4 linked regions of the Elephas maximus indicus genome follow. The protein of the gene in region 1 interacts with the protein of each later gene in a pairwise test. Links are inferred from orthologs where the notes say so. Each region holds a gene or a part of one and is shown in the gene's direction. Other genes may lie near its edges.

Evidence for each region.
Region 2: the proteins of TNIK (region 1) and GOLGA4 interact in a two-hybrid assay, tested with the Homo sapiens proteins (2 studies listed by BioGRID and IntAct). The link is inferred for Elephas maximus indicus from reciprocal best matches to the Homo sapiens genes TNIK and GOLGA4.
Region 3: the proteins of TNIK (region 1) and CNKSR2 interact in a two-hybrid assay, tested with the Homo sapiens proteins (2 studies listed by BioGRID and IntAct). The link is inferred for Elephas maximus indicus from reciprocal best matches to the Homo sapiens genes TNIK and CNKSR2.
Region 4: the proteins of TNIK (region 1) and DPYSL2 interact in a two-hybrid assay, tested with the Homo sapiens proteins (2 studies listed by BioGRID and IntAct). The link is inferred for Elephas maximus indicus from reciprocal best matches to the Homo sapiens genes TNIK and DPYSL2.

What each region holds. Positions count from the first base shown.
Region 1 is NC_064841.1:29,025,828-29,033,675, forward strand, and holds the start of TNIK (TRAF2 and NCK-interacting protein kinase), read left to right. Parts: upstream 1-4,841; 5' UTR 4,842-4,867; coding exon 4,868-4,924; intron 4,925-7,848. UniProt on the Homo sapiens protein: Serine/threonine kinase that acts as an essential activator of the Wnt signaling pathway. Recruited to promoters of Wnt target genes and required to activate their expression. May act by phosphorylating TCF4/TCF7L2.
Region 2 is NC_064845.1:2,971,616-2,978,778, reverse strand, and holds the start of GOLGA4 (golgin subfamily A member 4), read left to right. Parts: upstream 1-4,162; 5' UTR 4,163-4,464; coding exon 4,465-4,536; intron 4,537-7,163. UniProt on the Homo sapiens protein: Involved in vesicular trafficking at the Golgi apparatus level. May play a role in delivery of transport vesicles containing GPI-linked proteins from the trans-Golgi network through its interaction with MACF1. Involved in endosome-to-Golgi trafficking.
Region 3 is NC_064846.1:158,100,343-158,107,620, reverse strand, and holds the start of CNKSR2 (connector enhancer of kinase suppressor of ras 2), read left to right. Parts: upstream 1-4,262; 5' UTR 4,263-4,828; coding exon 4,829-4,892; intron 4,893-7,278.
Region 4 is NC_064840.1:47,009,352-47,017,312, reverse strand, and holds the start of DPYSL2 (dihydropyrimidinase-related protein 2), read left to right. Parts: upstream 1-4,947; 5' UTR 4,948-4,962; coding exon 4,963-5,316; intron 5,317-7,961. Other genes in the region: PNMA2 (paraneoplastic antigen Ma2), read right to left, coding at 1-1,093.

The sequences.
Region 1 (7,848 bases):
CTCCAGGACTTAGAAACTGCACCTTGCACAAAGTGATCCATATATTTTTTTGAATGAATAAGATAATGAACTAATGCAGTTCTTAGTTACCGTGATGAATGCGCCTTTTTCCTTATATTCATTGCCTCTGAGCTTGAATCTGCCCCAACTGTCACCGTAGTCCAACCCCACACAGTTTAGGTTTGTGGCTCCACAGGCAATCCAACTCTGCCTGCTTTATATAATCTGTATAATCTAAGAAGTTCTCTGAAATACTGGACCACTGATGCTGCTTGTCTTCTAGAACTTTTTTTTTGGTCACCTTTTAAAAAATTGTGTTTTAAATGAAGGTTTACAGAGCAAATTAGTTTCTCATTAAACAATTAATACACACATTGTTTTGTGATATTGCTTGCCAACCCTACGATGTGCCAACACTCTCCCCTTCTCTACCTTGGGTTCCCATTATCAGCTTTCCTGTACCCACCTGCCTTCTCGTCCTTGCCCCTGGATTGGTATGCCTTTTTAGTCTCGCTTTGCTTTATGGGCCTGTCTTTGGCTGAAGGGTGAATACCAGGAGTGATTTCAGTACTGAGTTAAAAGGGTGTCCAGGGGCCATACTCTTGGAGTTTCTCCAGTCTCTATCAGACCGTTAAGTCTGGTCTTTTTCTGAGTTAGAATTTTGTTCTGCATTTTTCTCCAGCTCTCTCTGGGACCCTCTATTGTGATCCCTCTCAGAGTAGTTGGCGGTGGTAGCCGGGCACCATCTAGTTGTGGTGGACTCAGTCTGGTGGAGGCCCTGGTGGTTGTGGTCCATTAGTCCTTTGGACTAGTCTTTCCCTTGTGTCTTGGTTTTTTTCCTTATTCTCCCTTGCTCCAGACGGATGTCTTCTAGAACCTTGATGAATTTTAAAGATTTTTTTCTTCTTTAAAGAATATCTAGGGATTTGTGGTGATAGAAGATACAGGGGGTTTGCTTTTGGAAACTCCACAGTAGTGTTTCTGATTTCCAAAATGTGGTACATAGATTCAATATTGAATAACATTTACCCTAATAAGGAGAACATAATCCCCTTTGAGCTCCTCTTTCTTGTTTATAATTTTAAAAATATAAAAATATTTCAAATAAACAGAACAATACAGAGAACACTATAATGAATACCCATTACTAATAATCCAGATTTAACAATTCCAAACATTTTGCCATGTTTGCTTGGTCTTTCTTTTTTTATAAATAAACTAAATGTCATTGTTGAAGTCTTCTCTTTCTTCCATTCCTTTCTCCCTTCTCACTATCTTTTAGTTGACCTGTATCCTTCCTGTCTGTGTCCATGCTTTTTATAGTTTACTACATATTTATATAGACATAAACATATTGGTCTTCAGACTTTAAAACCATACATAATGGTATCAACTATCTCAGTCTTTAAGATTAAACTAAGGAGGAAAATCTCACTTTGGTTCAAGTCTTGAATGCCTTTTCTGGCATTTGCTAATCTCTCTCTTAACAAAGTAAAGGCAGACCCTCAGGCTAAAAGCCTGGGGCAGGCAATGACTAAAAAAAAAACCAGCTAGCTAGAATTTAATAATAATACTGCTTTATTTTCCATTATTTTTATTTTAATGGTATTCTTTTTTGTTTTTTGCAAGCTTTCCATTTACAGTAGCAATTTACGCTTCCTTTTAGATTAAATGTAAGAAAAAAGAAATGTATCAATTAAAAAAAAATGTTAATAACAACAGTAAGGCAGCACACAGACCTGGCAAAAAATTATGAAAGTAGCACTGGAATGGTTGAAATTTGTTACACACTTGACCTACAGGGTAAAGTTCGAGCTCTTCCAGGGAGCATACAAAGCAGTACCTGATCTGACCGCTGCTGGCCTCTCCAGCCTTAAGTCACCATTCTTCCTTCACCTCCAGCAGTACAAACAGCTCGGAATTTCCCCCTCCTCTTCATCATCGATGGCACTAGTTTTTTTTTTTTTTTTTTCTTCATCAGTGACGCAATGGTTAAGTGCTTGGCTGCTAACTGAAAGGTGGGCAGTTCAAAACCACTAGTCGCTCTGCAGGAAGAAGATGTGGCAGTCTGCTTCCGTAAAGATTACAGCCTTGTGAACCCTATGGGGCAGTTCAGGTCTGTCCTATAGGGTCGCTATGAATTGGAATCAACTCGACAGCAACTGGTTTCAATGTCCTGTAAGTCAAGAAACCATAACTTACGGAGTTTATCTTTAGGAACCCTGGTGGCACAGTGGTTAAGCGCTCAGCTGTGAACCAAAAAGTCGAAAGGTGGAACCCACAAGCTGCTTGGCAGAAGAAAGATGTGGCAGTTTGCTTCCTTAACGATTTCAGCCTTGGAAATCTTATGCAGCAGTTCTACTCTGTCCTATATGGAGAGTTCTACCCTGTCCAAATGGACTTGACTGCAATGGGTGTGTGTGTGTTTTTATCTTCTCTTACCAGCTGGAGGTGTCTTTGCTATCGTAATCCTCCCTTTCATGGTATTTCCTGTAGCCCAGCACCACTGCTTCCACTTGGCTCTCGCGCCCATCCCCTCAGGCTTCCAGGAAGCAATCCTCTTCTGTAACTACTCATCACTAAATTTCCAAATCTAACTACAAATCCAAGGGTAGAATTTAGTGCCAGGGACAGGGCACCCTACAGCCTGAACAGCTTACTAAAGCCAAAAGATCTGTTTGTGATGTCTCAAATAAAATCTGGACTATAAAATCAAGACTCTCCATGAAAACAAATGTTTAACCCATTTTTTTTTGTTGTTTGGAGCTTTAAAAATTGTTATTTATAGATCTGACCTTTAATTATTTTCTTTCAACACTAATACATTAACCTGTCATCTAGAAGAAGGTTAAAAAAAAAATAGAAGGGAAAAATAAGAACAATGATGGGAAATGATAGTTCTTTAGCTCATTTCAACATTACTTGGTGGCTTACTGCCAGCTACTACAAAAAGCTGGATGATTTCATTATAAAATGAGAGGTAAAAATCAAGTGTTTGAATATAATGCGTTTAAACATTTGATATACGTGTAACGTTTACAGGCAAAAACTCCCAAGCAGTTGTGGCCATAGAGATGTTGGAGAAATTTTCAAGTTCCATGGTGCATGATTTATAACTCATATGAATACAGTAATACCAACAAAAACCGTACGGTGCACACCGAATGCGGTTTAAAAGCCCTCTGTCTGCAGTTGTGATGTACTAACTGCACTGGCTTCCATCCATTCATTGGAAAGCCTTATTCTGAAGCTGATATTCACACTACATATAAAAAACAAAAACAAGAAAACAAAACAAACCCTCAGAGTCCTTGGCCAGAAGTAAATTATTCTCCTAGCAGAGGTCCTGAGAATACTTTCAAAGCTACTGCTGTATTTGAAAAAAAGTTCAGTTTTAGCGTTTTCTTCGGATACGTCTAATTTTGTATGGCCAAGGCCGGAGAGGAAGGATTGCAATGGGGACCTGGGGAAGTGACTTCACACTCTTGATTACAGAATGTCATGTTTACTACTGTAAATATTGAGCCTCTAAAGGAGAAAGCGGGTGAAGTGAAATCGCTCCCACGCTTCCATCTTGTATGGCACATTTTATCCGCTAGCCAACTTTCTCCATCAATCCCGGTAGGTCAGCCGCAGAAACGCTGCCTGAAACGGCAATGTGAAATCCTGAGGCAGCGTGTGCTGCCTAAACCAGAGTTGGCTTTGGACAGTTACCTGAAGCATTCAAGATGTTGCACCCAGAGAAAAAGCTCGTTTCAATTCGGTCGTTTCCGTGGGGAATTGCGGCAGGGGCCGGTCCTGGGTGTGGCGATGCCAAAAGGGAGCTCCGATCTTCCAGTTTTCCCGCTTCTGGCAAACCTTTGCAACCCGAAGCGGCCAGTGACCCGCACCCGGGAACGGCCATCTGCGGTCCCAGTGGCCGCAGGCAGACCCGACCCCACGGCCCCTGTGAACTGCCGAAGCCAGGCGCTGGGCAAGCTAGGCGTGCGCGCTTCTCCCCCACTCGCTCGGCGGCTGGGGGCGGATCCCCTTCCAAGCACACAAGTCCTTATATGCACCGGTTGCACCAGTCCGCGTTACTCCAGCCCCACAAATAACTAATGGGGGAGGGAGGACGTCGCTCTTTTTTTCTCTGGCTTTTTCAATGTCAGATCATTTGAGTCCCTCCAAGAAACCCCACGATGCGATTGAACGGGCCATTTGCTGCAGCGCACGCATTGGACACACACAAATAAAGCCTCCTTGTTTGTACGATAGGCATGTCCGCGTCCCGGAACGGCACTCGGGTCCAGCCGGTTTGGCCCGCAATAGCCGGGGCGGAAAGGGTGCGCGCCCCTCCCCCATGCACGCTGGTGCAGAGGGACCCGGTCAGGAAGCGCGGCCTCTCCTCCGCCGGAGACCACGCCTCCTCCACCTCTTTTTTTTTCTCTCTCCCCCTTTACTCCTCCCAGGAAGCGGTGATAGACAGTTCTGTGTGGCTCTCCACCCCCACTCCCCCAGCTGAGTGGAGGAGTTGATGTGTCTCATTATAACAGCCAATGCAGCCGCCATCCACGCACAAGCAAAGAAGCATGTCCCATTTAAATACACCCACGCAGCCCCAGCGCCCTTAGCCGATCAGGGCGCGCAGCCCACACGCACCGCGGCTGGGGATTGGAGATCCGCGCAGGTCGAGCTCCCGGACCCGGCGGACGGCCGCGCCGAGGGTCGGGATTCGGCGCTGTGGGGCCGGGGTGGGCGGAGGAGGCTGGGCCCGGGCCTCTGGCGCTGCACCCGCATGAAGACGCGAGTGAGATAGACCAAGGTGGAATCTCCAGGGCAGAAGCTTCGGAGGGGTTTTGGTCCATTTCCCGGCGAACAAGTAGACATGGCGAGCGACTCTCCGGCTCGCAGCCTGGATGAAATCGATCTCTCGGCTCTGAGGGTGAGCAGAACACCTTTTCTGATTTCTTCCCGGTGGGTTAGGTCAGGGTGAACGGGCTCGGCGCGTGGACCGGGGCTCGCGCTGTGGGCAGAGGCGAGAGAATGCGACGGGAGGGAACGTGGATTCTCGTTTCTCTTCGGGGTTTGCTCAGGTGCTCTTGCTGAGCCCCCAGGGCAGGGTCTGTGCGGTACGTGTCCCCCTCTGGCTGTGACCGAGGCTCCCCCGAGAGCGCGTGGAGCTTACGCCAGTTTATCGTAGACGGGTGTAAGAGCCTTAAAATGAAAGACTCGTCGGTGTGTGTGTGGACACCCCGGGCGGTCGCCTCGTGCCAAGGCGCGACACCCGGCTGCCCCTTTCTGCAAAAAAAAAAAAAAGCAGCGTGAATAAAGGCACTGGCCTCACGTTTTCCAGTTACCTGCAAGATGACATTGTGAGCCTGACTGTACCCACGAAGCCGAACCTGCCGCTCCACGGGGGCAGTTACTGCTGTGCTTGCCTTGTGGATGGCAACGGCCCTCAGCCTCCCCTTTCCTGCCTCCCGCGCCCCGGCCCTCTCTGGGCGCACCCTTAAACGCCCGTCTGCCACTCACCTTTATTTGTGGTTTTAACTCAGCCCAGCCTGTGGTTTCTGACTTTGGGGCTGTGACATTTCAGCTTTATGGCTAAACTTAAGCAGGTGAAAGGGATGTGTTTTCCGCTTTTTTCCAGTCACACCGGAACTCCCGGAGTGTGTGTGTGTTTTCCTTCTGTCTGTGGCCAGTTCTTTGTAGAGCACCTCCCTCCCCCCAGCCCCACTGGTTTGAATTTACCTTCACGTGAGTTGCCTCCGACGCAGTTTCATTGTATTGACTAAGACATCACTGGTATAGAATCCATTTTACTGTTGTTTTGTGAGCAGAATATCAGGAATCCCAGTGCAGCCTCGACGCCTCTCTACCCCCAACCCCCAATCCTGACACACTCAAGGGAAGGGGGCAGAGCTTTCTTGCCATTTTAATTAGATGCTGCCTGCAGGGAAGAGGGTGAGGGATGGGGGTGGCGGCAGCAGCGGGGTCTGGGGGAAAAGATTGGGCACCAATTTAAGGACGACTTCTTCTCTTGAACCCTTCCCCCTTGAAAAATAACAGTGACTAGATATATTTGATACATGGTGGATGGGTGAGGCTAAATTGATGGTGGCTCTCAACACCGAGACACGCAAGATTGAAGTTCACACGCCCTACTGAGGAACACATTGTTAGATCGAAGCTAAATCTTGGGACCATTTACCTGAGTCTTTTTAGTACTTCTGACATTGCCTCTTTTCTCCAGGGTATTTTAAGAGCGACTACTGTTATCAAAGCTGTACTTTTTCCTTAGCCTCCCTCCTTTTTCCCTCCTTTTTGTTCCAACTCGGCTCCCCCCTCCCCCCCTCCACTTTAGTTCAAGAGATGAGGTTTCAGGAAGGCAGTCCGGGGGTTGTGAAGGAACAGGGGGGCCGTTTGAAACTGCCTGTACTGATAGTTGGGTAGCAAAAGCTCATTCGTGCGTTATTACAGTAAGTGATTTCCCTGGGGCTGAAATGCCATGTTCAGAACCCGCTGCCTCCGGGCAGCTGGGGGTGGGGGTAGTTAGTAATAGGGTGGGTGCTTTGACCAAGTCCTTGTCCTCCTGTTTGATGGACTGTGTGTGTTCTTTTGTCCTACTTGCTGTACTAGGAGTAGCTGCCGGTGGGTTAAGCAGGTAGATGTATGGGCCAGACCTCAAGGTGGGGGAAATTGTAAAAGGAGAGGGGTTCAGACAATGGGCAAGGCTTGTGGTGATTTCCCTAAGCCAGAATCGAGACATCTACATCACTCCTCTAATGAAATACTGTGTTGTGATTTTTAAGTTAGGCTTTGACCTGTCACCAGTGGGCTTTTTCTGGGGAAGGTTTTCTGAGATAGAGAGCAGAGAGCCTGCAGGCTTGTGAGAACCACGAGGGCTCGCTGGGCTGGCCTGGAGACACTTCACATTAGGATACCAGGGCTTGTGAGATCTGTATTTCGAAAAGATACCGTTCTACGGCTCACTGCAATTGCTCTTTGTGGCCTGGGCTGCCGGCTTAGTGGTCTGCCTGTTTTTCTGCCTGCCCCGAGGTGTGGGCAGGGAGGGCAACAGCTGGCCCTAGAGACTGGAGCACTGCTGGCTGGAGGACTTGCATGTAGGTGTGGAAACAGTTGCATTCTGGAGGGCTGGGGTCAGGGACTGTTTTGTGGTAGGTGGGGTGTGCCAGCCGAGAGTGGGTTCAAAGGCCACATAGGTAATCTCCACAAATCAGAGAGCAGATCATATCTGCCTTCCCAAATTAGGAGAGGTGGGCTCATCTAGTTGAGAAGTCTCATTCGTTCCCAAACCCTCAGAAGAGCTTTGGTGCTGAGAACCTCCTGAGGAATGCCTGACCCCTGAAATGCAGCCAAGGTCAGTGGCTTCTAGGAGAATTAGCTGCAGTCTTTGGGTCCCATGCTGTTTCAGTGACTCTTCAATGTACACAGTCAAGGCCCTTTTTATAAGCCCTGGGCTCAGTGCATTAAAACCAGATCCTGTCTGGAGAGGCCTTTAGTCCCTTCTCATTTTGGGGGCTTATTGTTCTCAGCCAGTGATCCTAGACTGGACCCAGTCTAAATTTTCCCCAAATAGTAACAATGCATAATTTACACCAGAGCAACCGATGACAGCACTGATCATTTAAATTATGCAAGATTTGGATGGTTTTTAAAAGTGAGATGAAAGCAGAATCTTCTTTGGTTAGAAAATAGAAAATTCAAATCCGGTTTATTTAGTTCCGATTTCTAGAGCTCACAAAGGTAAGCCTTAAGTCTGGGAGGGTGGGGGGATGGTTTCATAGATTTAGAGCTAGAAGGGAATTGTGGAGAGTTCAGCCACTGTTTTCATTTAGCACATAG
Region 2 (7,163 bases), on another chromosome or scaffold:
TAACCAAAGGGTCAGCAGTTTGAATCTGCCAGGCGCTCCTTGGAAACTCTACGGGGCGGTTCTGCTCTGTCCTATAGGGTCGCTATGAGTCGGAATCTACTCGATGGCACTAGGTTCGGTATTGGCTTTCTAGCTATATATTTTGTGTTATCATATTTAAGTGGTTGTTCTAGGCATTACAATATGCATAGTAACTTACCACAGTCTCACTTGTATTAGTTATTATACCACTTCCCCCACGATGGAAGTCTTTAGAACACTTTACTGCCACACCCACTTCTTGGCCTTTGTGCTACCTTTGTTTGTTACAAACCCAACAATGTGGGGTTATTATTTTTGCCTTAAATAGTCATTTGGATTTTAGAGAAATGTATTATCTGCATTATCTCTGGTATCATTTCTTTTCAGCCTCAATAACTTTAGCATTTCTTGTAGTACAAGTTTGTTGGCATTTTTTTGTTTGTTTCAACATTTTAAGGATGCCATTCTATGCAGTCATTTTTGTTGTTGTTGTTCTGTATACAGTATCTCTTTTTTTATCTCCCTGCTTTTTAAGGTCTTCTGGACACTGGGAACAATAGAGACATACTCGCAACTGTCAAGACAGACTTTGAGGAGACAAGTGCGCAGTGCGGAGTCTGCCGTGGAACCTACTGCTGGGATCTCAGTTCCCACGTACTGACTAGAACGGACAATCCTGACGTAAATTGAGAAAAGCAAGATATGGACTATATACAACGCATTTTTAATAAAACATAAATATATTTGTATACAAGTATATAAATTTATGTGCCTATTTTCATAAATGAAAGACTAAAATCAAAATATAAACTGAATTATTAATAGAAGTTATTTGGGGGATAAGATTACACTTTTGTTTGACTTTGTTACAATAAGTATATATATTACTTTTGTATTAATAAAAAGATAAACACAGAAGGTGATACATGCATTGACGGCATGTAAGAACGAGGCTGTACACAGACGAGCATGGTGGACTCCACTCGTGTGTGTATGTGTGTGTGGGGGGGGGGGGAGTGGTCACAGAAAGCCTGTAAGAGGAGATGAGATATGAAGGGCAGAGAGTTAAGACTCAGGTTACAACCTAGCCTTGAGCTGAATTTGTTCTAAAGAAGTGTTTTGTATAAAGGATCCCTGGGTGGTGCCAAGGGTTAAGCGCTTGACTGCTGGTCACAAGGTTAGGGGTTTGAACCCACCCAGAGGCACCACAGAAGACAGGCCCAGGCCAGGTGATTTGCTTCTGAAAGGTCATAGCCTTGAAAACCCTATGGAGCAGTTCTACTCTGCACACATGGGGTCACCATGAGTCGGAATTGACTTGATGGCAACTAACAACAATGATAAATATATGTATAAATATAAAACTGTCAACCTGTGATGTATAATTGTGAATGCTGGGGTGAGAATGCCTATTGGGCATCTGAAGTCTGAAAGAAGCCTATGGGACTTTATAGTCTGTTGAGAGATTGTTGCTGTGTGCCGTTGAGCCAATCCTACTCATAGTGACCCTATATGACACAGTAGAACTGCCTTGTCGGGTTTCCTAGGCTGAAACCTAGAAGCAGATCACCAAGTCTTTTCTCTTGCAGAGTGGCTGGTGGGTTTCACCCACTGACCTTTTTTTTTTTTTTTTTTTTACTAGTCAAGGGCTTAAGCATTGCACCTTGTTAAAACATTAGGCTCCTAAAAAAGGAAACACTCTCTTGGTAATTACATGGGTGTTGATTGTACGGGAGGACTTAATCCAGACGTCAGGGCAGTGTCCCCATCAGGCCCCTGCAGTGCAATAGGCTTCTCTTTATATATGGCCTTTCTGGTCCTGGGTTTGTAGTTCTGCCAAGATTATTCGCTAGGCCACAATCTTGCAAAGAGATTGGACAATGTACTATGCAAATAAGATGTATAAAACCCTTGTGGAGATTGGTCAATTGCTAAGCAAATTAGCTGACTATGGACTACAGAGGGGATTTGTCAGTTTGTGGTCTTGGTAGGGGCAGTAGGCTTATAAAAGGGCTAATCCCACAGGGACTGAGAGGAACCTCACTATCATAAAGATAGAGAGCTTGACACTGGAGATGGCCGTCTTGCACTGGCAAGAGATGGCGTGGCAGCAGCAGGAGCCACTGCAGTGAGATGGCTGGAAACTGGAGACCAGTGTGAGATGGCTGTGGTGGGGTGCCTCAGGGCACTTGTCGGCTGAGCTAAAGAACTGTAACACTTGCAAAAGCAGGCAGAGGCTGAGAGGAGGCCAGGCCAGCAAGGAACCACGAGCTGTCTTGGAAACAGTCCTGGTCCCCTCCTACATTGTTCCTGTTACTTCCAAGTTAATCCTGTTCTTGAATGGCAGCCTGTTACTTCTCTAATACACCACATAATGGTGAGTATGATCTGTGAGTTCTGTGCGGCCACTGCAACAAATTATGGAACCCAGGAGAGAAGCAGAGAGGGTGGGGGGAGGGTAGTGGCAGCTGGTGTCAGAACTGGTGAAAAGACTGGAGGGTGGAGATATGTCTGACCTCCAACACACAGGAATCAAAGGAATCAGCCTGGGGCCGATGGTGATTCCTTATCCTCCCTGAAGTTAGAGGACCTATGATGCTAGCTTACAGCCCTGCTCCAGCTGTGACATGCTTAGTGATTAGGCTCTGCAGTCTTAAACAACAGTTTGTGTATATGAATGTTGGTAAATAAAATCTGTTAAAATGAGAAGACAGTCTACGCTGTCAGGTTCTGATACCTGAGGCAATGTGAAGCAGTTTCAGATGATGCCAAAGGTGTAGCACGCACAAGCAGGTCGCTGAGGTGGATTTGAGAGTTCACCTATGAACAAAAGCTCAAGGTGTTGGATGAATTAAGCACACAAACATTAGAAAGTCTTAAAATGATAGCAGGTGTTAAGAGTAAATTTGAACTCTTTGGGAACCCGTGTCTTCCACGAGGCTATGCGTTTCTTTTATGGGCAGGAATATTGTTTTACTAAGTGTACCATCTCCAGGGTACTGGCATTTAGAAACAAAGGTTGTTGTGTGAATACATGAAAATACACAATTTCAGTGAATGAAAAACTAAAGGCAGGTGACAGGAAGATCCGTGTCTTACTTTATTGGCGTGCAACATCTGGGCCTTGGGAGCCTATCTCAAGGCACTTTCCCTAAAGTCTCCAGGGAAGGGAAGAACCCCTTCCTCCCCCGCCACCGAGCAGTCAGAATATTGGGCACTAAATATATAGAATCCTAATACAAATGAGGAGCCCTGGTGGCACAGCGGTTTAGCGCTTGGCTGCTAAGCCAAAGCTCAGTGGTTTTAAGCAAAGATGTCACTTTGAGGACTAAGGTGCGCCTGACCCAAGCCATGGCCTGTGAAAGCTGGACAAGGAATAAGGAACACCTAAGAATGATGCCTTTGAATTACGGTGTTGGCGAAGAATGTTGACTATTCCACAGATCGCCAAAACAACGAGCAGATCTGTCCTAGAAGTACAGCCAGAATGCGCCTTAGAAGCGAGGATGGCGAGACTTGGTCTCATGTACTCTGGCCATGTTATCAGGAGGGACCAGCTCCTGGAGAAGGGCATCATGCTTGGAAGAGGGCCAGCAAAAAAGAGGGAGACCCTCAACGAGATGGACTGACGCGGGCTGCAAGAATGGGCTCAAAGTGACCACCACTGTGAGGATGGCGCAGGACCAGGCATGGAGCGACGGCGCTTCACAGGGATCAGAAGTACTGAACAAAACTACATTATCCTTTAGGGGCCACCTCAGGCCCCCGCAGTTCCACCCTTCTCCCAGCCTGGACGCCGTTCTCCGCTGGGGGGCCTGGCACCCTCTCCGCCTGACTTCGCAGCGTCGAGGCGCAGCTAAGCGACGGGCCAGGGATCCCAGCAGGAGCCCAGCTAGTCCCCGGAGAAACCTCCAGCCAGCGCCGCCCCCCAGCGCGCATGTGCGGGCGCCTTGTCCCCTGCGGCCCCCCGTAGGGCCCCGTCAGCGCGCATGTGCGGCCGCCGTAGGGTCCCGTCAGCGCGCATGTGCGGGAGCCTTGTCCCCTGCGGCCCCCCGTAGGGCCCCGTCAGCGCGCATGTGCAGCCCCCCCCTCCCAGGGTCCCGTCAGCGCGCATGTGCGGGAGCCTTGTCCTCTACGGCCCCCCGTAGGGCCCCGTCGCGAGCTCCACGTCGGCCGCGCAGGCGCCCTGGGCGCACCGTTCACCTGCTGCCGTTGTCGCCGCCGCCGCCGGGGCTGGATGGGGGGCCGAGGCCGGCCGGTGGCACCCGGGAGGAAGAGACGCGGCGGCGGCGACGCCGACACCTGTGGGACGAGCGTCCCGCCCTGCCTGCGAGCCCAGGGAGGAGGCGGCGAGGCCCGGCCCCCGCAGCCCCTGGTGTAGAGAGGTGACTCCCCGGCGCGCACCCTCAGGTCTCGTTCACGCTCGGGACCCCGCGCTGCGCCATGTTCAAGAAACTGAAGCAGAAGATCAGCGAGGAGCAGCAGCAGCTGCAGCAGGCGCTGGCTCCGCCTCAGGTACGATGGCCGCCGCTCTCCTTCCCTGGTGCCCGACGCCCCTTGACCTGGCTCGGGGGTGAGAGGGAGGGCAGCTCCGTCCTGATCCCTGACCCTGATCCTAGGACCTCCCCAAACCCCGGGCCGGGAGGGCGCGCACGGAGACCCGGGTCCCCTCACCCCTGAGCCCGGCGCCGCCCTCGCGGCACTCGGTCCGGGAACGAGGGGGCCGGGCCTGGGACCGGGGCTGGGGCGGGCGGGCCCGAGCTGACAGCTGAGCTCCGTCGGGGTTCCCTGATGCCCTAGGCCAGGTCCCGGCTCCCTGGACGACCCCTACCCACCCGAGGTCCCAGCTGGTGGGTGAGCGCGGAGGGGAGTCCCTTCTAATGGTTGCTCTCCGAGCCGGCGCCCCTCTGCCATCCCCGCCCCGAAGTGACCCACCGCGCGGGCGCCCTCGCCCCCGCCCCCAAGCCCGGCCGCCCTCGCCCCCAAGCCCGGCCCCGCAGGGAGGACCGGGGTCGCGCCCTCGGTCCCAGGCCCCCGGCAGGAGCGGGGACGTGGGGAGGCGGCGGTGGCGGGCGTCCAGCGGCCGAGCCGGGCACCAGGCGTCGCTGCGCGGAGCTGGGTCGAGCCCGGCGCGCCCTGAGCGCGGTGCTCCGCCTTCCGCCTCCAGCTTCCCCGCCGGCCTGCGGCCCTGCGCGCTTTGCTGCCGTCTGCGGGTGCTCCAGGCCCGAGGCTGCAGGAAGCGACCGTTTACGGGGCAGGGGGCAGCTTGGCGGCTTCGGGAAGCAGCCCCCGAAGTTGTCAGCCTACGCGTTCTGACGCGTCAGCACGTGATCTCGGAGGGTGCTGTCGGCCGGGGCGCCGTCGGCGGGGCTCCTGCCGAAGTTCCTCGAAGGCCTCCTTCACCGATTGCGCAAACCTTTCTTTCAGTTTTAGGGTTTCTGGTCGCTAGGAGTCGGAATCGACTCCACAGTAGCGAGTTTGGTGTTTGGTTTTGGTCTTTGTCTAGGAGTCCTGGTGGCGCATTGGCCCAAGCGCTCGGCTGCTAACTAAAAGGTCGGTGGTTCCAATCCACCAGCGGAGAAAGACGTGACAGTCTGCTTCCGCGAAGATGACAGCCTTGGAAACCCTAGGGGGCAGTTCTGCTTTGTCCTGTAGGGTCGCTGTGGGTCGGACTGGACTTCACAGCTGTGGGCTTGGTTTTTGGTCTTTGCCTGCTGTTACAATAAAGCATGAGTTTTGACTTAATCGGTGGCATTTTTAATAATTTTTTGACATAACATTTATTTTGTGTTGAAGCAGCTGTTGCGCTGAGTTTATTCTGAGACGAGTTGGAAAATTGTTCTCTTAAAATTTAGTTTGTGTGGACTAGAACAGTGCTTGCGAAAGACATTGCAACGTGGCACCGAAGGTCTGCTCATTCTTCCAAGTAAAGTGCAAATAGAGATCAAAACTTAAATAGTAAAGATTTTCATTTTATGTGATTTACTGTAGACTTTTTAACTTTACAGGACGCTTAAGAAAAATGAGGCAGAGATGGAGAGGGAAATGGACAGGTTAGTGAATGTAAGGCAGTTAACATTTGTAAACGTGCACGATATCACTGATCCACGATGTCACTTCTAGAAATTTATTCAAAGAAAGTAATTTAGGATGTATTAAAACACAGCTATGTAGGTTTTCATTTCAATGTTAGGTAGAAGCTTGCTAAAAATGTCCAGCAGTTCTCGAACAAACCTATCGGGTAGATAATCCCGTCCTTCCTCTTTTATCCATGGGAAAACAAGGCCCAGAGAATTGAAGTAGCTTGCCCAATGCCATTCACCCATTGTTAGAAATCACAGGAAACTTGGTAACACAGAAAGATGTTTGTGTTAGTAGCCGCACGTAAAAAGCCACATGTAACACGTGATCACAGCTTTGTGGGAAAACGTGTCTATATGTGAGTTTACATACATCCTTAGTGAAAGTATTCAGGAAGGAGATGCCCTTACGGTGCTCGTGAGCCATGAGTGTTCTGTTCCTGACCTGTAATGTTAGTTTTTTTTCATGAAAATGAATTGCTTTTTTGCAGTGGGAAGAAAGGTGCTTAGTAGTAATAACAGTAAAGGTAGTCACAGGCCAAGGTAGAACTCCCTGTTTCTTCAGTTTAGTACTGTTGCATTGGCTTATCTTTAGTGAGAGGGTCATCGGTATCAAATAAAACACTTTGTGTCCAAAGGTTAAAAATCCTCTTTGATATGTTCACATTCTTGAATATATGTGTATTTACCAAGAAGTAAAAAATAAGTTGTCAATCACCTACTGGTAGAAACTTGGTTCTGTTCTGGTCCTAGGTCCTCAGCTATTCCCAGCCCCTCAGGAAAGAAAAGTTCCGGATAATTGTTTTCAGAGAGTTAAGGATTTCTTTCAAGCACTAACTAAAAAACAAAAACAATACGAAACAACAACAACAAAAAATGCTTTTTTTTGCAACAGATTACATACATCCTTTCCTAAGCAAAGGATCTCGAATGTGTATGATATTCTCTTCTTCTGACTCGGGCATCATTTTTGAGGATAAGTTATTCTTTGTTGGAGGCACCATGCCCTCTGGATTTAATAGGGTTTGAGAGGCAGTCCCGTTTTACCCACTCCAGAGGATT
Region 3 (7,278 bases), on another chromosome or scaffold:
CATAAATTGGATGAAGAAATCATTTAAAGTTATTTTTATTCATCTTTAATTTTGTTGTGTTTTTACTGAAAGTTTACAGTGCAAATTAGTTTTTCATTCAAAATTTATTCGCAAATTGTTTTGTGACATTGGTTGCAATCCCTGCAATGTGTCAGCTCTCTCCCCCTTTCCCTTTCTACTCTGGGTCCTCCGTGTGTCCATTCTTCCAGTTTTCCTGTCCCTTCCCGCCTGCTCGTCTTTGCTTTTGGACAGGTGTTGCCCATTTGGTCTTGTATACTTGGTTGAACTAAGAAGCATGTTCCTCATGTGTGTTATTATTTTATAAGCTTATCTAATCTTTCCTGAAAGGTGGACTTTGGGAGTGGATTCAGTTCTGAGTTAGCAGGGTGTCTGGGGAACACAGTCTCCAGGATTCCTCCAGTCTCCATCAGGCCAGTAAATCTGGTCTTTTTTTGTGAATTTGAATTTCGTTCTACATCTTTCTTCTGTTCTGTCTGGGATGCCCTATTGTGATCCCTGTCAAGTGGTTGGTGGTGGTAGCCAGGCACCAGCTGGTTCTACTGGGCTCAGGCAGGCGGCAGCTGTGGTTTATGTTGTTCATTAGTCCTTTGACTAATATTTTCCTTATCTTTGACTTTCTTCATTCTCCTTTGCTCCAAACGTGATGGGGCCAATAGACTGTAGCTTAGATAGCTGCTTGCAAGCTTTTAAGACCCTAGACACCACTCACCAAAGTAAGATGTAGAACATTTCCTTCATGAACAATGTTATGCTAATTGACCTAGATGTCCCCCAATACCGTGGTCCCCAGCCCTCCGCTCCAGTAACTTGGTCCCTCAAGGTGTTGAGATGTGTCTAGGAAGCTTCTATGACTTTGCTTTGGTCAAGTTGTGTTGCCTTCCCCTACGTCGTGTGTTATCTTTCCCTTTACCAAAGTTAATTTGTCTAAAAAAAAAAAAATTTTTTTTTTTTTTAGTTAGTGGTGTTTCCCTCCCCACCCCTCTGCTCCATTGTAACCATCAAACATTGTTTTTTTCCTGTGTGTAAACTTTTTCTTGGGTTTTTATAATAGTGGTCTCATACGATATTTGTCCTTTTGTGATTGGCTTCTTTCACTCAGCATAATGCCATTCTGATAAAGTGATTTATATTGATATGGCTAAAAACAACTCACAAGTTTTATGTCCCCAATTAATTTAATATTTCTACACTGCCTGCTTCCAAAGAATCAGTTTGGCTCTTGTATCTAGAGTGAAGTATGTGTGACATCATGCCATTTTGCGCATCATGTTTTGATGTATTTTATGACAACATACATTTTCCCGTAAACTTTGAGACTGTATTCTCAGTCCCTTGAATTCTGAATTAAAGGAAGACAATGTGAAGTTTCTACATAATCATATACTGTACTTATAAAAATAGAGCAAGGCATTAATATTTTGAACAATAGCAAAAGAATGTAAAAGCTAGTTTATTTGAAAAGTTGCGGAAAGAAAATGCAGGGAAGATTTAGCTGAGTCATTTGGAGTTAAGAATAAAAGAGTGAAGGCAATGATGATTTAATCCTATTTTTATTTCCCCCCAAATCAAGAAAAATAGAAGTGAAAAGCTAGTTATATTCTGAACAAATTAAGTGAAATAATGCATCAAAATCAAGAGGTATGTTACTTTGTAGGGGAAACTTCAGGGAGGAGGATTTAGGACAAATACTTAAGGCCTTGATGAAATCTATTCGATAGTATAACTCTACACCCCCATTTTGAACTCAGTCATTCTTAGTTCTTAGAATTAGTGTTTACAGTTATCTCAGGCAATTAGACAAAATAAATTCTTACTGTGACATAAACAAGAGGACTGCAGCACATGTACAACTTAATTCTGACCTATGGTCTTCCTCAAAATTCTCTTTCCCTGGAATCTTTTTTCCATCTTCTTTGGGACTGGTCTTTTCATGAAATATGCCTTTTATTTTTACTTCATCCTGGTCTTTTGGCATTTGTTTTGATTGATATTCCATTCATCATGCAAACAGTCTCACTTTGAACTTGCTTTCAATATGATGTATAGTGTGGTTGCTTGTCACGCAAGCCCAGTCTCGATGTGCAGTTTGATCTTTTAGCCAAATTTGGTCACTTCCTGCATTTTCACAGTTGCTGCGTAGGTACTGGTCAGAAACACTCATCGTGACTCTCAGGCACCTTTGTTGTTAAAAATGTTTTGATGAGACATACTTAGTTAACATTCAGTGGACCTTCCATTCACTGATACTGTTCATCTTGTGACACTGATACAAGCCTTTTTATTAGTTTTAAAAGCTCTTATTCTGGAATCACCTTAACTTGGTATTAAAATCATGCATCATGACCTCAGACAAATTACTTACCCTCTTTAGGCCTTATTCATTAAATTATTCAACATTTATTGAACTAGGTGTAATAGGCTCCGGGGATAGGAAATGAATGTGACAGCCAAGGTTTTTTTAATCTGTAAAATGTCCCTAATGATAGAGCTGTTTTGAGCATGAAATGTATGTAAAGTACTTAGCACACTGATCAATAAATATTAATTGTTATGATTAGTAGCATTATTTTGATAAAATTACTTTTAACATCTTTCTATGACCGTAACCCCTTACGACTCAGAATGTATCCACATTACATTTTTAATATAAAGTTATTCCATAAATTACAGATGCTGGAAATGGTCTTTTCTAGAAATATTGATGCACTGTTCTTAGACTCAGTTGGACTGTAAGCACTCCACAATACAATATCTTTCACACCTGGGTAGCCAAGAAAAAATTGTAAATCAAAACCACGATCTGGATTATGAAAAGAAGGTGCTATACTTGTATCCTCTTGAGTACAGACTTGTTTAGATAGAATTCCAAATTTCTTCCCCAAATTTCCCATCTAGTTTTTAGTTTGGATTATTACAACACTAAACAAGCCCAAAAACAGGGCATTTTAAATTTTACTTGTTTAGTATCACTACCATGAAAACATTAAAATATTTTAACTACTGCTGTTTCAGCTCGTGTGTGTGTGTGTGTGTGTGTGTGTGTGTGTGGACACATCATCTGGAGGAAAGTGGCAGTTCTGCATCTCAAAAAATTCAACTAGAGAAAATGGGTTACTGCAGGCACTGCAAAAACCTATTGACACTATGGAAATGGCTATAGAAATAAAAAGTTTCTCTTTTCCTCAACGAAGCTATTTAAGAGTGATACAAAGAAAATATCTCTAGGGGTGGGAGCGTTTGTATCTGTATACTCTCTAACCCAGTACCCATTATTTGTAGTTTAAAGTGAAGCCTCATCAGGCAAACTGTATTTTACTACGGTCACAAAGTATCCTGGGTAAGCTTTCTGAAGAAAAGGAGTTTTGAAGAACCATATTGTTGACAATTTGTCACTCATTTTAAATCCCACTGTTGCCCTTAGTTCTTACAAAAGAATGTCTGCCAACAAATAGCATCCTCTTTTTTTTTTTTTTTTTTTTTTTTTAAAGCAGGACTGGGAGCTCCCGATGTTGGAGGAGTTGGCGGAGAACCAAGAACAGAGCCCTTTAAAAAGGCACGTGGGGCAGAGCCTGTCTCAGGGACAACCGCCACCACCTCAACGTGCGGGTTACAGAATCAACGCCCGGCTTCCCGGGCCCTGTTCATCGCCGAGGGAGCCCCGACAGCAGGACCTGCTGCCTCGTCATCGCTGCATTTCTGGCTGGCAGGTCCCCGTGACCGTCCGCGGCATTCCACGCCTCGGTCTCGGCCGGCGTGCGCGGGACTCGGAACCACCTCGCGAGCCCACTCAGCAGCGGCGAGGGCGAGAGCGAGGAAACCCCGGGGACCGAAGTCACCCCCGGGCTCGGCGTGTCCCCTCCCCTCGCCGGCGGGGCCTCCGGTACCTCCTCAGCCGCCTCAGCACAGCCAGCATTGTACTGGTGGACGGTCCGTCCCGCCGCCGTCGCCGCGTCCCCTCGGAGGCCCCCAGAGCCACGTTCCCGCCGCCGGCACCTGATAGACGGACGGACGGACGGACCCGGAGCTCCGGCCCGGTGCCGCCGCCGCCGCCGCCGCCGCCGCCGCGCACGCGCTCCTTGCACGCCTTCGTGCCCCCGGCGGCCCTCGGGGCGGGAACGCGGGACTGCCAGCCGCCCGCACCTGACTGACTGACAGACCCCGGGCTCGGGCCGCGCGCCGCGCGCTCGTGCAGTCCCCACGCGCACGCGCACGCGCTTCGCGCGCCTGCCGCCAGCCCCGGGGGCGGGACCGCGTGGCTGCGAGCGGGCGGGGGGCTCGTGGCGCGCGCGCCCTGCACCCGAGGGCTGCAGAGAGATATTTTGGGTGGCAGGAGGCCCCTCGTCATTTCCGCCGGGCAGCGTGTCGTGCCAGGGGCTTCACTCCCGCGCGCGAGGCGAGCGGGCAAGTTGGCTGCGGGCGGGCGGCGGCGGCGGCGGCGGCTCCTTCCCTCAGCGCCGCGACCCTCGGCAGCGCAAGCCATGAACTGAACTCCTGGAGAGACGGAGACCCGAGCGCAGCCGCGGAGGCAGCAGCAGCCTTAGCCGCCTCCTCGGGCACCGAGCCGCCCCGGCGCGGAGCTGCGAACCCGGCACGCTTCCCTCCTCGCCGCGGTTCGTACCGCGGCTCCCCGACATATACTGAGAGGCGTTACAGCCGCGCGCCCAGACACACAAAAGCCACCTTCTCCGCGCCGCCCGTCCGCCCGGCGAGGCAGCGGCCAACAAGGGACCCCACCTGAGGGCGGCTCGGCTGCTGAGTTCGTTTTCTGTCCGAGCCCCGCGCCCCTCAAGGAACCGATCCCGCCCCCATGGCTCTGATCATGGAACCGGTGAGCAAATGGTCTCCGAGTCAAGTGGTGGACTGGATGAAAGGTAATACCCGCTGCGGGGACGGGAGGAGGCCCTGGGCGCAGGGTCCCGCCGCACCGAGCCTCGCCATCGGGGCTGCCGCCGGCCGATTGCGGCCCCTGCGAGGCGGCGCGGGTGCCCCGGGGCGGCGGGGCCTCTGGTCCCCTGATCCCCTTTTGTCTCCAGCCAGTTGTTCCCCAGCTGGAGGGGCTCGGAGGGGCGGGGAGAATGCGCGAGGGCGCCCGGCGCGACCCAGTTGGAGGCAAGAAGCCGGACGGCGAAATCCCGCACGTCTTCCCCGCTCTCCCCTGCGCTCCCGGGCCGGGAGGATGTGGCGACCCTGGTCTCCCTCTTCAGAGAGGAGCCCCCGGGACTTGCTTTCCGAAGCCCCGCTTCCCCGACCCCTTTGTTCCCGGGAAACCTGACGCCCCTTCCGCGGCCGCCCCTCCCAGGTGCCTGCTCCAGCGCCAACTCTCCCCGCAACTTTTAAGCTCGAATAATGGGGTCAGGAGGCTGCCGCCCCCGACAGGACCCGGGAATCGCCCTCTCTCTCCCTGGCCTCTCTGCGAAGGCTAGGGAAAGGCGCTGCTTTGGGGAGAGGTAACATGCCTCCCCTGGGACGGCGTCCGCGCTGATGGCTGGGCTCCTCCTGCGCATTCCCCCGTCCTTGCCACCTCGACTTCGGGGCGAAGAGACTTCGGACCCCACGACTCTTTATTAGGCTCTCGACTCTGGGTGCAAGGGGATGCGCATCCCCGTACCCCTTCATTTCTTCCATCTTATTCACTTATCCCCTGGCAATTTCTAATAACCATAGTTAGAGACGCCCTCCTTGTCGCAAACGTGAGCTTTTTCTCTAGTCCTTGGGCTTTTCTGCCTCACTATCTCCCTCTGTTGTCTGAGTTAAGGGGCTTGTAGAGGAACTCCCGCCCCCCCGCCACACGCGACCACTGCCCCCTCCCTTCTCCTTTCATTCCCAGGCCCAACTCTCTCCTAAGGTTTTTGGGAATATCCAGAGGGGATGGATAGGATGGACTAAAGGTTCCCTGGCCACACTTGGGAGATGTTAGAGCTCTGCTGGTGGTGGGTCTTGGGCACCAACTCTAGGTAGGTTAGTCAGGGAAGGAAGGCTTGGTATTTATGAAAATGCCCCTTGGGAAGATGAGGGATGCCCTTCTTAGGGCTGGCTGAGCGATCAGACTTTCTAAACCCCCAGGTACTTTAGAATGAAAAGTGATGATTGGAAGGAATTGTAAGTGAAACGGAGAAACTATTTTTTTCTGCCTTTTCCCCCAATTTTTTCAGCCTTCTTGCTTATTCTTTTGGATTTTCCATTATCTATTTTGCTTTTCTTCTATTCCCATACTTGCCCCTCCTCGTTCACTTTGTTTTTCTTTCCTAAATATGTGGAAAGTGCTTCGTAACTGCAAACCCGTTGCACAGTACAAATGTGAGTGAATTAAATTGAAGCAAATTCATTATTTATTGACTGCCCCCCTGCGTGTGGTGCATTGTGCTAAGGTGCCATGGGGGTTATAAAGATGACTAAGACAAAGTCCTGCAGTGGCTCATCTTTTCTGTTTCCTCTTTTTCCACATTTGCTATTGAAATACTGCTTTCCTAGATTCCCACCAATTCTCCCCCAGGCCCCCCCCCCAATTCTCTGATACAGGCAAACATCTGTCTTGCTTATCAGTCATGGAAGAAAGAGCCAAGGCATATGCAGGAAGTGAGATGTTTAATTAAAACCTGTCTTAGTTGTCTAGTGCTGCTATAACAGAAATAACACAAGTGGATGGCTTTGACAAAGAGAAATTTATCCTCTCACAGTTTAGGACGCCAGAAGTCAGAATTCAGGGTGTTGACTCTAGGGGAAGGCTTTCTCTCTTTGTTGTCTCTGGAGGAAGGTTCTTGTCTCTTTGAGCTTCTCCTCCTGGGTGTATCTTCATGTGGCTTGGCATCTCTCTTCTCTACTTCTTTCGCTGGCTTGTTTAATCTCTTTTACATATCAAAAGAGAGTGATTTAAAACACACCCTACACTAATCATTAACATAACAAAGACAACCCATTCCCAAATGGGATTATGACCACTGGCGTAGACTTTAGGATTTACGACACGTATTTTGGAGGGACACAGTTCAAACAATAACAAAACCCTTTCTTTGAATTTATCTAAAAGCTTAGTTGGAGTCTGTTGCTGAAATACTCAAAGAAAAGCTGTCTTGGCCTCACGGAAGTCAGATTACCTTCAGAGACTAACTACGTCTTACCAATTTCCATGATGCTCACTGGCAGTGAGTGCTGCATACTCCATCTTCTCCTCCTCCTACCCTCCCAATTACATTCTGCACTTTCCCCTCTCTCAACAGTTTAGGTCTACTGCAGCTAGTGTAACATACGATGCACACA
Region 4 (7,961 bases), on another chromosome or scaffold:
ACGCACTGGCCTGGTTAACCCACTGGCCATAGGTTTCCGCCTCATCTGGATCTTCAAGATTCTCATGTTCAAAAGAGGCCTCTTCCTCTTCTTCTTCCCGTATTACCTTCATCAACTCAAGGAAGCTGGGAGGCGGTCCTTGATCCTTCAGCTCCCTAAGCCTGCACCAAAGGATTTCACTAAGGCTCGCCCCAGCCATGATTTGTTCCAAACGGACCTGATCTGCAATATTTCTAGGAATGGCACGCTTCTCAACAGCTTTCCGAAGCAAGGTTTCTAACCGTAACACATAGGCAGAGACTTTCTCGCCCTCCTCCTGATAGGTCTTCAGATACCTAACCTGTGAGGTCCTGCGGCTCTCCAGGCTTCCAAACACTTGTTTAAACGCCTCCAAACACTCTTCCACGCTTATGGACTGGTTGTCTGCCTGCACTATATGCATGAGGTCCAGAGCAGGGCCACGCAGGCTTTCCATCAACCACCTTTTCTTTTCTGCCTCTGCTACTGGCCACTCTTTGACTATCTCAGTGGCCTGTTCCAACCAGATTTCAAAGGGCTCTTCCTCTGGGGCTGGAACAGCACTGCCTGAGAATATTCTCAGTTTTCGGTATCTCATGGGTAGCAGAGGCTGAGGTGCATGCGCTATTGCCTGTCCCACCAAATTGGCCAGTAACTCTGGTGATATGGAGGGGACAGCAGCTGTGGACACTCCCTCATGCCCAAGGGCTCGGAACATACCCGCTAATGTCTGTTCCTCTTTTTCTAAGAAGAGGTTCAGTCTTTCAAGAAATTCAGTGTCCTGATTAGGGGTCTTAAAGACCACTTTCCAGACACCGCCCCTTCCCTGCACCTCACTGGGGATCACGGAGATATCAATATCCTCCATAAGCTCTAACAAGACAGCATTGGCATTATCCTGCTTCCTGAATATTTTGCCAAGCAGTCTATACCTGCCCAGGGACTTCAAATTCTCCTGAAGAACCTCCTGAATCTCAGGCTCATCACACTCCACTGGTATCCCCATAACCAACAGTGATTTCTGAGTATCCACACTCATTATCCCACACCAGTCCTCTAGCAGTGCCAGTGCCATTGCTCCAAGTATCCACTTGCCCTAACTCGTAGGGGCACCAGTTAGTTTGTGGGGCAGATATGCACTGCCTTAGATTAAAAAAAAAAATCCTGGATGACCTAGGGGGTGGATCCTAGGTCAGGTCACTCTAAGAGTGGTCTCAAAATCTCCTGGACTGTTAACCCTTACTTGCCCAGCGGCAACAACTCAGCACTTCCTGTAATGTCTCTAGAACTGATCCAGGACGGGTAGGTTGTGTCTCACCTATAACAGAGCCACTACCTGTGGCTCTGCAGTCCTCTTGGTGCTGTTTCTCTCAGCGATGCTGGCAGCCACGTGGTGGTCCTGACCTTTCTTCAATCACCGAGGCACCTGGAACAGCTGCTTTGACCACTGTCTCCTGGTCTCTGATACTTTCTCTAGTCAGCGGTGAAATACTTTCCACTCTGGCACCCTGAACTCTTGAAGAGAAGTCTCACAGTAGCGTGACTTGGACTCCTAGTGAAACAATTTTCAGTTTTACCACTGAAGCATACCAGGAAGCATACATATTCTAGTTTGGGAAGGAAGTGGGGGTAGACCAGGGGTTTTGTCTTACATTGTACCTGTGTCTAGCCCACTCTGTCAAGAATTCTTCTTTGATTATAGTGACTTTTTTATTTTCTCTTGGGGACCCTCTGAAATACAGCTTCCCCAGCATATGCTCATCAGACATGTCAATCAATGTCTAAACCCCACTTTTGGACAAGATCCAAGATTTTTCCCACATAAGGGATGAAATCAAAAGATGTGGCTAAATACCTGTTTATATGTTCCAGAATGTTCCTTGAGAGTGAACAGCTTATTCAGCTTCTAGTATAGGATGATGTCACCCAACTCCACACGATGGTGTCTCTGAGTCTTAGCTCCAGCCAAGTCAAGATGTCCTGCTACACATAAAAATCATGTGGTTTTATAGCTCAATAATATGCAGTCATAAAGACTGTTTCTACACTTATTAAAAATATGACAATCTTTCACGATTTAGCTAGCTCTACTAAACAGCTATTGAACTGCTTCCTTTCTTTGATTAAAAAATACCCAGTTAGGAATCGGTCAAACATTTAAAAATAATTTAATATATAGATAGCATTTAGAAAAAGAAAATCTTAGGGCCAAATACACTAAACTTGGAATCATGGACTAATTCTTTTTTGCTACGTCTGGTTAGTCTTTGGCATTTCTTTTGTTATGAATGGTTACTATCACAACACTTTTTTCTCCTAGCATTTGAATTTAAATGGGTCATTCAAGGCAAAAAGAAGCCTATCTACTGAGCTTGTCCTGGAAAGCCTGTGGAGACTGGGAATAGAAAGTCGGAAGAGTGATGCCTCCCAGTCAGCGTTGCTGGAGTACACGTTAGGGTGCTACAATCATTCTCCCCTTGGCATGAAAATCTCCATCAATCTGAGGAAGGTCCATATGCTATGATACCAACCTGTAGCTAGAACAGCAGCTGCTCCTGTTGCAGGTACATCTCCTGAGTCCTTCTAGGAGGTGCTGAAGGCACCATAAGTGCCAAAAGGCCAGGAAAACAAAATGCTATTTTACTCCTATCCCCAGGAGCCCCAAGGACGTGAGCTCCTACCTGCAATGTGACTTTCAAATAAAAAAAGCAAGTGAAACACCCTTGGTATCCAATAGGGCCATGGATGGAAGTACTTAGATATGGAAAAAAAAAAAAGTGAAAACCTTATATTTTCTCACATCAACAGAACCAATAGGATAAACTGGAAAAGGAACAGATTTTCAGATGGAAGACCCCCAGTGGAACTGTTGCATCAGTTAACTAGATAGGTCACCCTGGCCAAGGTCCCTCAATCCTTTTAAATCACAGTTTCCTAACCTGGAAAATAGTGACAATAAACCTGTCCCATTTATCTAACAGGGCTGCCGTGAGTAGGTAATAACGTAATTCACGTGAAAGCATTTAGTTCAAAAGAAGTCTATCTGATGCTAAATCCGGAATACCTGCCTATGGGGGTCTCTCGCCTGCTCCATATGTGTATTCTTCTTCTTCATTCTCCCCTCCTCATTTTGAGGTTCATTCCCACCTATGATGGGCTCATCTTCACACTGTGACTAGTCGTCCTCCAAATTTAACCCCATTCACCAAACCATCACTGACAATAGGGGTGGGGGATCCACATTTAATCCTTCCAGGGACAAGGGTTGACAACGGTACTGAATCCTTGGCCCGTAATGCCTGGCGTGGTGACGCTGCGGGAAATCGCCTCTTAGCCCAAACCCGCCCTGGTCACAGAGCAAGGCCAGATCTCCCTTCTGAGCCTCGGATGGGTGGGCATCATTTTCGCAAAATTTTGCCACTGTAGGAAAAGAGGGGGGCTGCACTCGATCAGAAGCAGAGATTGATATACGGTAAGAAGAGGACAAGAAGAGTAAGCATCGACGGCGTTACTGACACAAATCAAAATGACACCTGAATGCCTACCGACCCGGTGGTCACGGCTGAAACACCCCCATAGAAACACCACACCTCCACACAGTTGCCCCTCTTGTCCCCAAACGCAATTCTCTGCATTCTATCACAGTGCGCACCCTGCCTCCTAGTCCCCAGCGGATGCGCACACACTAACACCACAAGCACGTGGCGTCTGGCCCTGCTCTGGCGCAGTGCGCAACAGGGGCGGGGGAGACTAGGCGGGGTGCTCGGGCGTGAGGAAGGCCTGGAGATTTAGGGAGTGGGCTTTATTCTACGTATTTTCCCCTTTGGAGAGGGGCGGTGGAAGATATCAAATCAAGACACTCTCCTTGGCCCTTCTTGGCGCAGGGGCGCAGAAATATTACATGGGGCCCTCAGGCAATGTAGCGGGTCTACACCCTCTCTGTCTTTACAAGTGGCTGCACTGGAATCCGCAGACTGCACTCCTTGCTAAAACTCCCATAAACCACAGGCTTAAGTCTCTCTTTATACCTCCTCATTTGCTACGCCCCTCTGCATTTCTTCTGAACACGTTGTGCACCCCCCACCCCTGGGGATACACCAAGCAAGAATGTTCTCGCTTCATCCTTGCTCCACGCAGCCCACCAAGGCCCGTGGGTGACTGGGGCTTTGGTTTTCCGCGCCTCGGATGGCACCCTATTCTCCGCACCGCCTGCCATTCCCCATTCCCACTGACGCCCCCCAGTTGTCCTGACTTCTGCCAGATTGTCTCCTTTTCCCCATCCATCAGCAAATACCCCGGGAAAGGGGAGGGATCCCAACCCGCGGAGCCCCCAGCCCGCGGTTCCATCTCCGCAATGCGGTGAGAGGGAGAGGCGCCTGGGCCAGGCAGGTGGGGGAGAGGAGGGCAGGGGACCAGGGGCTGCGTTTTCGGGTCGTCGCCTACGCATACCCAGCCCCTCTACTTACCCTAGCGCCGGAGAGCGGTCATCAGGCCCCGCACTCGGCAACCGTTAGCCGGTGGTCTGGCCGCTTCACTTCCGGAGCGTGGGGCTCGAGATGGCGTGGCCCGCCCCTCCCCTCCCCTCCCCTCCTCGGCGCCCCGCCCCGCGCCCCCCCTCCTAGCGCAGCTGCAGGGAACAGGCTGCCTCTCGGCTCCCGCAGCCGCAGCGGCCGCCCTCCCCGGCCTAACTTCGCCGCTCGCCGGAGCTTGCGCGGAGGCTGGGGGCGTGGGCAGGGAGGGGGAGAAAGCAGGGCCAGGGGGAGGGGCTGGGAGGGGTAGACAGCCCGCTCCAAAGCCCTCCTTCCTTTCTGTACACCTTGCCTTAGGCAGAAAGAGACATCCGTGGCAGCAGCGGGGGATTTTTGCACAGATAGTGGGAGACTTAGGGACTGGCAGACAGACAGACAGACGGAGGAAGAGGACCCTTCCCCAAGCCATCGCGCCATGGCTGAGAGGAAGCAATCCGGGAAGCAGGCAGAGGACGAAGAGGTCCCTGCCTTTTTTAAAAAGCTGGGCTCAGGCAGCCCCAAGCCCCGACAGAAATTCTGTGGCATGTTCTGCCCGGTGGAAGGGTCCTCGGAGAACAAAACCATCGATTTCGACTCGCTGTCGGTGGGCCGGGGCTCGGGGCAGGTTGTGGCTCAGCAGCGGGACGTCGCCCACTTGGGCCCCGACCCGCAGCCGCCGTACTCCCGGCAGGGCCGGCGTGCCGGCGGGGAGCCATCTGTTGAATCGAGCCGGAAGGTGGAGATCCGTCGGGCCTCGGGCAAGGAAGCCCTGCAGAACATCAACGACCAGGTTGGTATGGGAGGGCGGAGGAGATGAAGGACGGGGCGTGTGGGAGTTGCCTCTCCCTCCCGGCTCCGTGGAGACCCGAGAATCCAAGGGTACCCTCTTTCCTGCTCCTTCTTTAATGTTGCCTCTCTGCATATGCACACATACCCCACCCAACCTGCCCCTTCTCCGCCCAGGGTGCGGAGAGGCTCGTCGGTGGGCGGCTGTACGCCCACAAAGGCTGCCCGCACCTCTCTGGATCTGGGAGGTGGGGGATGGGGGGGGGTAAAGGACTGGCTGATTCCCGGCCCGGGGTTGCGCGGAGGGGAGTGGGCCGCGGTTTCATTCTTCTTAAATCCTCCCGGGCGGCTTCCGATTGCAGCTGTGGCTGGGTGCCCCACCCTTTTTTGATGCAGCTCGGAGCGTGCGGAGGAGGGGTTCGCGTGAAGGCCCGTGAGTTCCCTCGGGTTCGGGAGGGGTCGGGGCTCCGACCACCGCTCCCTGCCCGCTCTGCGCCCTCTCTGGCTGCACCTTCTTGGGCGCCTGTCGCTCTCGGGTACCGAGATCGGAGGCCAGCACCATGGTCAGCGCCTCTTCGGCTCGCCTAGGAGAATCTCACCACCCTTAACTCCTGGTCGCAGCGTGAGAAGAGTGAGGGAGAATGTGGAGTCACCCGAGGAAACCGAGACGCTTCTCAATAGCCCATGTGGAGAACAAAGTTCCGCTAAGTGCCTCAACAAGGGCTTCCCAGAGCTCTCCCTCTGCCGCTATTTGGGAGGTGCTCTGGGAATGGGAACTAAGTGGATTATGTTCAAAGGGTAAAAAAAGGAGGAAGAAAGAAACCCTCACATTTTGAATAGCATGTCAAAGAAGATTAGCCCTTTTGTACTGTAAATGAGTCAAACGAAGTCCAATTTGGTAAACCTTGATTTTAGAAAATGTTGGCCATTATCTGACAAATATGAACAGTGCACATTTTAAGTACAGTAGCTTTTTCACACCCCAGCTTTTTCTTTAACTGGGTGACCTTCATACTCGCACATTTTTTCCTCACAGCCTCAATTTCTCAGCAGATACTCTACAGTGCAAAATGTTTCATCCCTTGTTTGCTGTTTCTCCTGCACCCGTTAGGTTTAGCTTTCTGTGAAGATGAGACGTTAATTAATGATTATTGAATACCTATTGTGTGCCTTGATTTTGGGGCAGGAAGGTTAGCAATAAAAACTTAAAGGCAGTTTCTTTTCCTCACGGGGCTTCCAGAGTGGTTGGGAGTGGCCTGTTCCTGTTCATTGTGGGGTTCAACAAGCATTTACAGTGTAAGCATTTTAGAGAACAACATAGAGTAGGTGGTAATGGCCCTAGAATGGTGCTCCTGTTTCCTGATGTGGCATTGAGTTTTGCAGCTTTTGACTTTTATAGGAACAAGTCTAACGAAGTTAAAGCATTTGCGATCATTTTCATAATTTATACACTCCCCCCAGCTCTGTTCTCTGATGTTTTCATATAGGAAAGTATCTCATACACATATTTTATCATGAGTCAACCAGAAGAACCCAAATCCAGAAAATTCTCTTTGTTGCAAGTGACAAGACAATTGAAGCAAAAGTTTCTAATTGTGTAACCTAGACTAAAAGCTGAAAGTGAAATACTTTCCTAGATGAATGCATTGGGTGAGAGCCAAGCTTATATAGCGTTATCGTTATGTGAGTAACCTCATGTACAGCAAGTTGTCCTGGCAATTCTAATATCCTAGAGGGAGCAGAAGTATATTATGGAGAATAAGGAAGAGATCATTTATAAAATGGCTTTTGGGGGGTGTTAAGAGTGGCTACCCCATCATAAAAAAAACAGCAAATTAAAACTCAAGTCTGAAAGGCAAAGTTGCAATGAGTTAAATAACACATCTCTTTCTCCTGTCCATTTAGAAGCTTAGATGTTTGATCACAAGAGCTACTTGTTTGAATACTGGCTGAATTTAATAGAAATTCTAAATTGTATACCTATGGTACATGGAGGGAGAGATTTGAAGTGATAACATCCAACCAAAACCAGGGCATTTTTAGCCTCAGCAAACCTCAAATCAAATCCCGCTCCAGTTGCCTGAATATTTGTAGTAGGGAGATTCTGTCTTGGCCTACCTGTAGCCCTCCCAGAGTTTTCATCTTCAGTCTAGACTTATAGCATAAAGACTGCTCCTGTGGGATTATTTTCATTCAGATCAGGAGCATTTACCTGGATTGGTGCTTACAGTGTTCAATATTTCGTGTCTGTACAAGAGGAAAAAGGCATTTGGTGTGCATGTATGTACATGGATATAACTGGTGATTTCAAGGAGCCCTGGTGGCACAATGGTTAAGCATTCAGCTGTTAACTGAAAGGTCGGCAGTTGGAACCCACTAGCTGCTCCATGGGAGAAAAGACCTGGCAATCTGCTCCTGTAAAGGTTTCAGCTTAGCAAACCCTATGGGGCAGTTCTACTCTGTCCTATAGGGTTACTAGGGGTTGGAACCGATTTGACAGCACACAATAATATAGTGATTTCTGAAAGCACAGCTGGGTCCACCATTTTGACCAAATTGACTAGTCATCACTTAGTTTTCAACTAATGAGTAGGGTGACTCCCAGCATTTTAGTGCATTTCTGTAGGAAGGCCTGGCACAGAGAGAAAT